Daphnia pulex: one gene and its partner. The protein of the gene in region 2 binds, or shares a complex with, the protein of the main gene of each other region. Links are inferred from orthologs where the notes say so. Each region holds a gene or a part of one and is shown on either strand. Other genes may lie near its edges.

Region 1 (3,034 bases), on a different chromosome or scaffold from region 2:
AGCGGATTTTTTTTTCGTAATCAGTTATGTGTAACACGGGTCAAAGAAAATTAAATAAAAATTATATATTTGTTATATTTTTATATCCATTTTACATAATGCGTTTGACATGTTATTCCTTATTCGGCCGTTATTCGGTGTGCTATGGTATGATGGTAGGCCTATGTCCAGCAGCAACGCCTAATATAATGACTATATAATCCTATTATTTCTTATTTTTTGAAATCATTCTCAATTCCAAATTCATAATAGTATCGTTGGTTATATTCAAATTCAAAGTCTTATTTCGTAGCGATCCCGATAACAACGGCCGCGACGATAATGTTCAAAGAGTAAAGAGTGGAATCCTTTCTTCAGCGGGGTCCTGATCCGTTGCTGCTCGATTTTGGAGAAACCGCATTGGTTTGCCGTGATGACCTTGCCGCTGGTCCGGTTCAAGCGGCAGCCGAAAACCAGGTCGTGGAACGTGTAGGTGAACAAGTGTTGAAGGAAGCGAACCCAGCCGTACTCGAAGTCGCCGGATGTGCTCCCATTCCAGTAGATATATTTGCCACCCTATATGCAATAAACATTTAATTGTAATTTAATATCATTCATAGTATATACGCTGAATCATCGCATTAACTTTTAAATTATCTTTGTGAAATTTCAAATTTGCAATAAAAAAAAAGATATTTTGCTAATTTTTTTTTAAACCTTCGGTTACATTTTTCAGGACCCAATCGCGGCTAAAACCTTGGACGGAACACGGAACGTATGTTTGATGCGACCAAGGAAGGCCCCACATGCCACATGCAAAAATCAGGTTTCTTGAGTACCGTACGGAAGACAAGGAAGCCCCCGGAAATTATGGACTTCTAGATCAGACACTGGCGATTATGCTGGTACCGGTATCCATGCCGATTATCTATGCTGTAGCAGAGTAATCCAGGAAGACTCTGGCTGTAGCCGCTGTAGCTGTAGTCTGTACGTATACACCATGTTTCAGTTTGAGTAATAACAATTTTCGCGGGCAATTTTCGCTTTATATATCTGCACTGTATTGTATATTTTAATAATTTTTTTTTTTTTTAAATATTACTGATTAATTGAAATGTTGAACCCTGTTGTCAATCATTTTTTAAATTAGAAAAGCAGAAAGATACAAATACAACTCTCAATAAAAAATTACAGCTTGGCATCGTTGTTTTCCTGCCTCAACGTGGAGCTCATTCTGCTCACCTAACTGCTCACTGCTCACTGTTCTGCTCAGCTGTCACCCCTCTTGGTTACTGAACGTTCGATCTTGCTCCATTGTATAACAGGTGACTAGAAATCAAAGAAGAAAATGTTTCGTTTATTCATTTATATGCCTTATTTTCGTATATTTTAGATTAAAAATGGTGAACAGCGCTGTAAATGAAGCATTGTCTCGCGAAACAGTCTGGTATGAGAAGTTTCGTTATGAAGATGCGGAACGTCAGTTCCAAGAAATCTTGGCAAAGGTATGTTAATTTTACCTTTTAGTTGAATATTTCTTAAATGTTTGAATCATCAAATTCAGGGTTCAACAGGACCAGCATCCTGTTCAGTTGTTGCTGAAATAATGAAAGCCAGGGATCAGATTAAAAGCTCACTTGCTGCTGTAAGTTCAACTATTTTTAACATGGTAATAGAAAATTGAAATTGATTTCATGTACAGGTTGAGGATTTACCTTCCTCTGGTTCTGCCATTCCATCTAATGTGACCAGTCGACTCCAACAACTGGAGCAGGAAAATAAAGATTTGAAAAAAGTTACCGATGATCTCCGTTCATTGGTGCTGAGTTTGGAGTCCAGGGTCAAGAGTTTGGAAAGCTCGAAACCTGGAGCAGCAGTTCAAGCACCAAAACCTAGTGCTCCTCAACCAGCACCTCCAGCTAAAGCAGCAGCAAAACCTGATGATGATGACGATGATGATGTTGATCTGTTTGGATCTGATGAAGAAGATGAGGATGCTGAAAGAATCAAACAGGAACGTGTTGCAGCATATGCTGCTAAAAAATCTACAAGTAATAGAATTGTCCATTTCATAATAATTGTATCTTACTACATTTATTTTTCATATTCCCTAACAGAACCTGCTCTGATTGCCAAATCCAACATCATTTTGGATGTTAAACCGTGGGATGACGAAACCGATATGGCTGAAATGGAGCGTCGTGTGCGTGAAATTACGTCCGATGGCCTCCTTTGGGGCACTTGTAAGTCAAATTAGTCAGTTTCGACACTATCCTCTGCAATGTTTAACTTTTATTTAATTTGCAGCCAAGTTGGTTCCACTGGCATATGGAATCAAGAAACTCCAGATTTCCACAGTCGTCGAAGATGATAAAGTGTCTGTTGACTGGCTGACTGAAACTATCCAAGAAATTGAAGATTTAGTCCAGTCTGTTGATATTGCTGCCTTTAACAAGATTTAAATTGTTTCAAGCAACATCACTGAGAAATCTGCAATTACTATTGCGTAACTTGTGGAAATAAAAAATAACAGCTTTAAGGGCATCAAACGGAAAGTTCTGCGAAATTTATTGTTTTAACCAACGTAGAGTAACTAAATGAGGTTGTAGGTAAAGGATGATGAAATTGTAAGACATTTAACAACCGAAACGTTGGAAGAATTGAACTCTAAGGAGAAAGGGGGTTACAACAAGGAGAATGAAATTGTAACTGTACAATTGCGCAGCTAGAATACAAATTAGAAATTCTGAGGATGGCCAGAATATGGGTTAACAAAAGGTTGTTGGCCCATATTAACCACTCCATAAGGCATTGGATTGGGGACTTGATTAGGAGGAAATGTAGCAGAATGGCTAACAGGTGGAGCAAATGGAGCTAAAGAAGGACTCTGTGGAGGTGCTTGAGGTTGAGGAAAAGGGTACTTCATGTTCCCGGATACATTCATGCCTCCGACAGGCCCAATGGGTGCAACGTTTGCGCCAGGATATTGGTAGCCAGGGACAGACATTCCCATGTTCATATTTGGATGGGTTTGGGGAGGCGCCGGCATTTCTCG
Region 2 (4,013 bases):
GTTTGACTTTGATGTCCAAGAGAAGGAACCATATTGATTGCTTGTCCATAAAGTGATGAAGGAGGCACTCCTTGCAAATTCAAAATGCTTTCTTCCTTCCCTCCATTAAATACTGGCCTTGAAGCCCCAAGATTAGGATGCATGTACACAGAACCATGGGTGTTTGGATGCACTAATGGAGCTCCAGATGGATAGGGATGAAACAGCATCATATCACTGCTAATGAAAAATATTTGAGTTTCTAATCTAATTCATATGGACAAAAATTTCATAGGATATTGATCACTCTTGATATGAACACTGGTAGGGAAAATTTTACCAAATTAAACTTTTAGTGTCCATTTACTATTTACACACTTCCTAGGATATTTCAGCATGAATATTGTCTTCTTATTCTATGCTAAGAATGAATTTTAAAAGAAAAAATAGATAGCATACTTGAAACTGGATTCTTTGATTTTTCTTCTCGTATCATCCTCATTTAGAACTTTTTTGAGTTGCAGAAATAATTGATGCTTATCCTCTTTCAGTTGAGAAAGCCTGGATTCTGACTGAGCAACTTGTTCCTTAGTTTCTTCTAAAGTCATCTCTTGTTCTTTTTGCTGATCTTCTCTTTCTCTTCGCTGTCGCTCGACCTCAGCATCAGCTTCTTGTTCTGTTTAAGAGTAAATGAGTTACAGAGCACAATTGAAACATTAACACAATTATTGTGGAGCTTCATCATAACAACCTTGCTTTTTCCTTTGTCTCTCTCTGATTATGTGTGATTTTAATGAATTCCACATAGGTCTGCTGAGTTTCGGCTTTTCTAAAACAATGGCGGGCATTTTGTTTACTTTCTACACTAACGCTCCGACTTCAGATGAATGCACTGAGTTAATTATTTGAAAATATTTGAATTGTTTGGTTTGAAGTCCTTTCTTGACTCGCGTAAAACTGTTCTTTTTAACACAGTTTGAGCTTGATACACTTCTTGTCTTCGTGCTAAGTCCATGAAGTACCGACTACCGAAGTACCGAAGTACCACCGAGACCGAACTACCGAAGTACACCTTCCTGCTAAGTGCTGCTAAGACAGTTGATGCTTTCATGGATTCTCAGTTTCTCCCCAAAGATGTCGTGGCACGACCGGCAGCCTATAGAAGTCAGGTAGCCTTTGATCTCTAGAAGACAAGAAGAGCATGAGTAAACGTAAAAAAACCATAGTTCTGTTCCGTCGGTTCCAGGTCGGTCTAGCGGCGATTCTAGTGTCGCATTCTAGTGTTTGCATTTTAAAGTTCTAGCTCTATTCCGTTTTAAGTATCCACTTTCCACCTCCACATTCCACTTCCACATTCCACATTCCACTTTCCACATCCTAACTGCAACTCTGCAAGAGTGGCCCGCAAGGCAGACCAACAAAGGGCTGCGCGCTTAACAGCGTTGCCATGTAGAAATTTTCAACTATTCTCACGTTTGAGCTCGTTCTCTCTTGCAGCAGACTTCTTCTTGGTTCCACGTCAGGTTCTCGTCCCTGCATTTGATCATCATGGCTTCTGGAGTAAGTACGATCTGTGTTTGAATCTAAGAAATTCCGTGACATCTTCTTGTGTTTTAAAGCGTGATTCTGTTGTCCAATATCTAATTAATCGGGTTTTTTTAATTTTAGACTTTGTACACTTACCCAAGCAACTTCAGGGCCAATAAGGCTTTGATTGCTGCTCAATACTCTGGTTTCAAAATAAATGTCGCTTCCAACTTCGTCTTCGGCGAGACCAACAAGAGTGAAACTTTTTTGAAGAAATTTCCGTTGGGAAAGGTAATTTTCTTTATGCGGTTCATTTTCATGGTGGAAAGTTTTAAGTCTATGTGATTGTATTGATAGGTTCCAGCTTTTGAATCCCAAGATGGGCAGTGCATTGCTGAGAGCAATGCAATTGCATATTTCGGTAAATATTACTACTAAAATAGTATTCCTCTGGAATTGAGATGTAATGAGTGTTATTGAACAGTTGCCAACCAGCAGCTTCGAGGAAACAGTGACGTGGAAAAGGCCCAAGTCCTTCAGTGGATGTCATTTGCCGACAGTGAAATTCTTCCACTGTCCTGTACTATTGTTTTCCCTGTCCTTGGAATCATTCAGTACAACAAACAAGTATGTTTCTTATTTTAGTTTATTTGTGCAAAGCTAATTTTATATGTACAATGTTAATTGGTGTATTGTTTGTATAGGCTGTTGAACATGCTAAAGAAGAATTGAAGGCTATTTTGTCTGTCGTCAACAACCACCTTCTTACACGCACCTTTTTGGTTGGAGAGAAAATAACTCTTGCAGATATTGTTCTTTCTAGCAATCTTCTCCACCTTTATGAGAGCATTTGTGATGAAACTAACAGGAAGCCTTATCAAAATTTGAATAGATGGTTTATTACTTGTGTTAACCAACCACAATTCAAAGCCATCATTGGAGACTTTAAGATATGCCAGAAAGAGTGTCCAGTTGATCCCAAGAAGTTTGCTGAATTTCAGAGTAAGAAAATTCTAAACATTTAATTCATTGCCATTTTTATCCAATGTGTCAACAGGTAAAATAACTGGATCTCTGAAAAAGGAAGAAAAGAAATCTGTCAAGGATGAAAAGAAGAAAGAGAAAAAAGAAGAGAAACCAAAGCCAAAGAAGGAAGAGCCAGAAGAGGCTGAGGAAATGGATGCAGCTGATGCAGCCCTATTAGAGGAACCCAAGTCCAAGGATCCATTTGATGAAATGCCCAAAGGAACATTCAACATGGATGATTTCAAAAGATTTTATTCTAACAATGAAGAGTCAAAATCCATCCCTTATTTCTGGGACAAATTCGACAAGGAAAATTATTCTATCTGGTTTGGAGAGTACAAATACTCTGATGAACTTACCAAAGTCTTCATGTCTTGCAATTTAATCTCTGGTATATTCCACAATTTTTTTTTTTTTTTTTTGTTTTCAAAGAAGAAATCCCATAATATTCACATTTTTTAATAGGCATGTATCAACGTTTGGATAAAATGAGGAAACAATGCTTTGCATCCATGTGCTTATTTGGAACAGACAATGATTGTACCATTTCAGGAATTTGGGTGTGGCGTGGGCAAGATTTAGCTTTCCAGGTAAGATGGTTTACAATGATGTTACCTCTTTCAAAGACACAAATATTTTTTGTTTTCGATATTTTGTGTAACAAGTAGAGGGAAAGTAATAAGACTTACCTGTTTTTAAGCTTAGCTTTGCTTGAAGTAATGGATCTAAGTTTTAACAATATTTTTTGTTTAGTTGTGTCCTGATTGGCAGATTGACTACGAGACATACGACTGGAAGAAATTGAACCCTGATTCAGATGAAACCAAGAAGATGGTGGCGGAGTATTTTGCCTGGTCCGGCACTGATAAAAATGGTCGTCCTTTCAACCAGGGAAAGATTTTCAAGTAGTTTGGTATCTATACTCGTGGAGTGTTGTATCACAACCATTATCAATACAACTGATGAGCTACTTGATATGTTGGAGTTCATTCAGACTTACATTAAATTGTTTTAGCTTGCTGATTTAAGAATATATTGCTTAATCCCCTCTTTGATTCTCCATTGGGGTCACAGACCATTTTATTACACTCCCCTTTGATGAGTTGCAAGTCACGCTCATGTTAATAACTTCAAAGCAGTATTTATACATCTCAAAGCGTTTTGAACAATAATTTGCGTGGTTTGGTATACCAATTATCAAACAAAATTTAGAATTTGTTATGAACGAGAAAATGGTGCACAAAAGCTTTTTACAAAAAAAGGCGGATTAACATACAACAGAGCACCAGGTTCTCCGACTTTCCAAGCTGATGGATCGATTTCACAGGCGAAATAGGAATAATCAACAGTAGTGCCTCTAGTGCTCGATTACACCAACAATTTGGCTAACTATTTTATACTCAAGTGATCCAAGCTCTAAGCCCAGCTACAAAGTGTTTATTGGTTCGCTTGGTCATTAAGACGAGCTGTGATCATGTTGA

The links. Proteins that work in one complex are often made in the same cells at the same time.
Region 1: the proteins of elongation factor 1-gamma-like (region 2) and elongation factor 1-delta-like are in contact, whole or in part, in a crystal structure (PDB 5JPO), measured with the Homo sapiens proteins. The link is inferred for Daphnia pulex from reciprocal best matches to the Homo sapiens genes EEF1G and EEF1D. Residues at the interface, in NP_001395.1 of Homo sapiens: Tyr9, Trp13, Arg14, Phe40, Gly41, Asn44, Gly56, Lys57, Val58, Ser104, Val107, Pro108, Ser111, Thr112, Phe115, Ile120, Met121, His123, Asn130, Glu134; in NP_001123527.1 of Homo sapiens: Ala2, Asn4, Phe5, Leu6, His8, Glu9, Ile11, Trp12, Phe13, Lys15, Phe16.

Annotation. Positions count from the first base shown.
Region 1 is NC_060024.1:3,942,243-3,945,276, forward strand, and holds elongation factor 1-delta-like, read left to right. Parts: upstream 1-1,162; 5' UTR 1,163-1,304; intron 1,305-1,372; 5' UTR 1,373-1,379; coding exon 1,380-1,484; intron 1,485-1,543; coding exon 1,544-1,624; intron 1,625-1,681; coding exon 1,682-2,030; intron 2,031-2,096; coding exon 2,097-2,222; intron 2,223-2,286; coding exon 2,287-2,441; 3' UTR 2,442-2,528; downstream 2,529-3,034. Other genes in the region: signal transducing adapter molecule 1-like, read right to left, coding at 2,717-3,034.
Region 2 is NC_060020.1:8,828,902-8,832,914, forward strand, and holds elongation factor 1-gamma-like, read left to right. Parts: upstream 1-1,244; 5' UTR 1,245-1,527; coding exon 1,528-1,539; intron 1,540-1,647; coding exon 1,648-1,797; intron 1,798-1,863; coding exon 1,864-1,927; intron 1,928-1,990; coding exon 1,991-2,133; intron 2,134-2,210; coding exon 2,211-2,508; exon of another isoform or gene 2,509-2,563; coding exon 2,564-2,923; exon of another isoform or gene 2,924-2,997; coding exon 2,998-3,122; exon of another isoform or gene 3,123-3,149; intron 3,150-3,221; exon of another isoform or gene 3,222-3,285; coding exon 3,286-3,441; 3' UTR 3,442-3,507; downstream 3,508-4,013. Other genes in the region: uncharacterized protein LOC124193185, read right to left, coding at 1-219, 439-655, 731-827. UniProt on the Homo sapiens protein: Probably plays a role in anchoring the complex to other cellular components.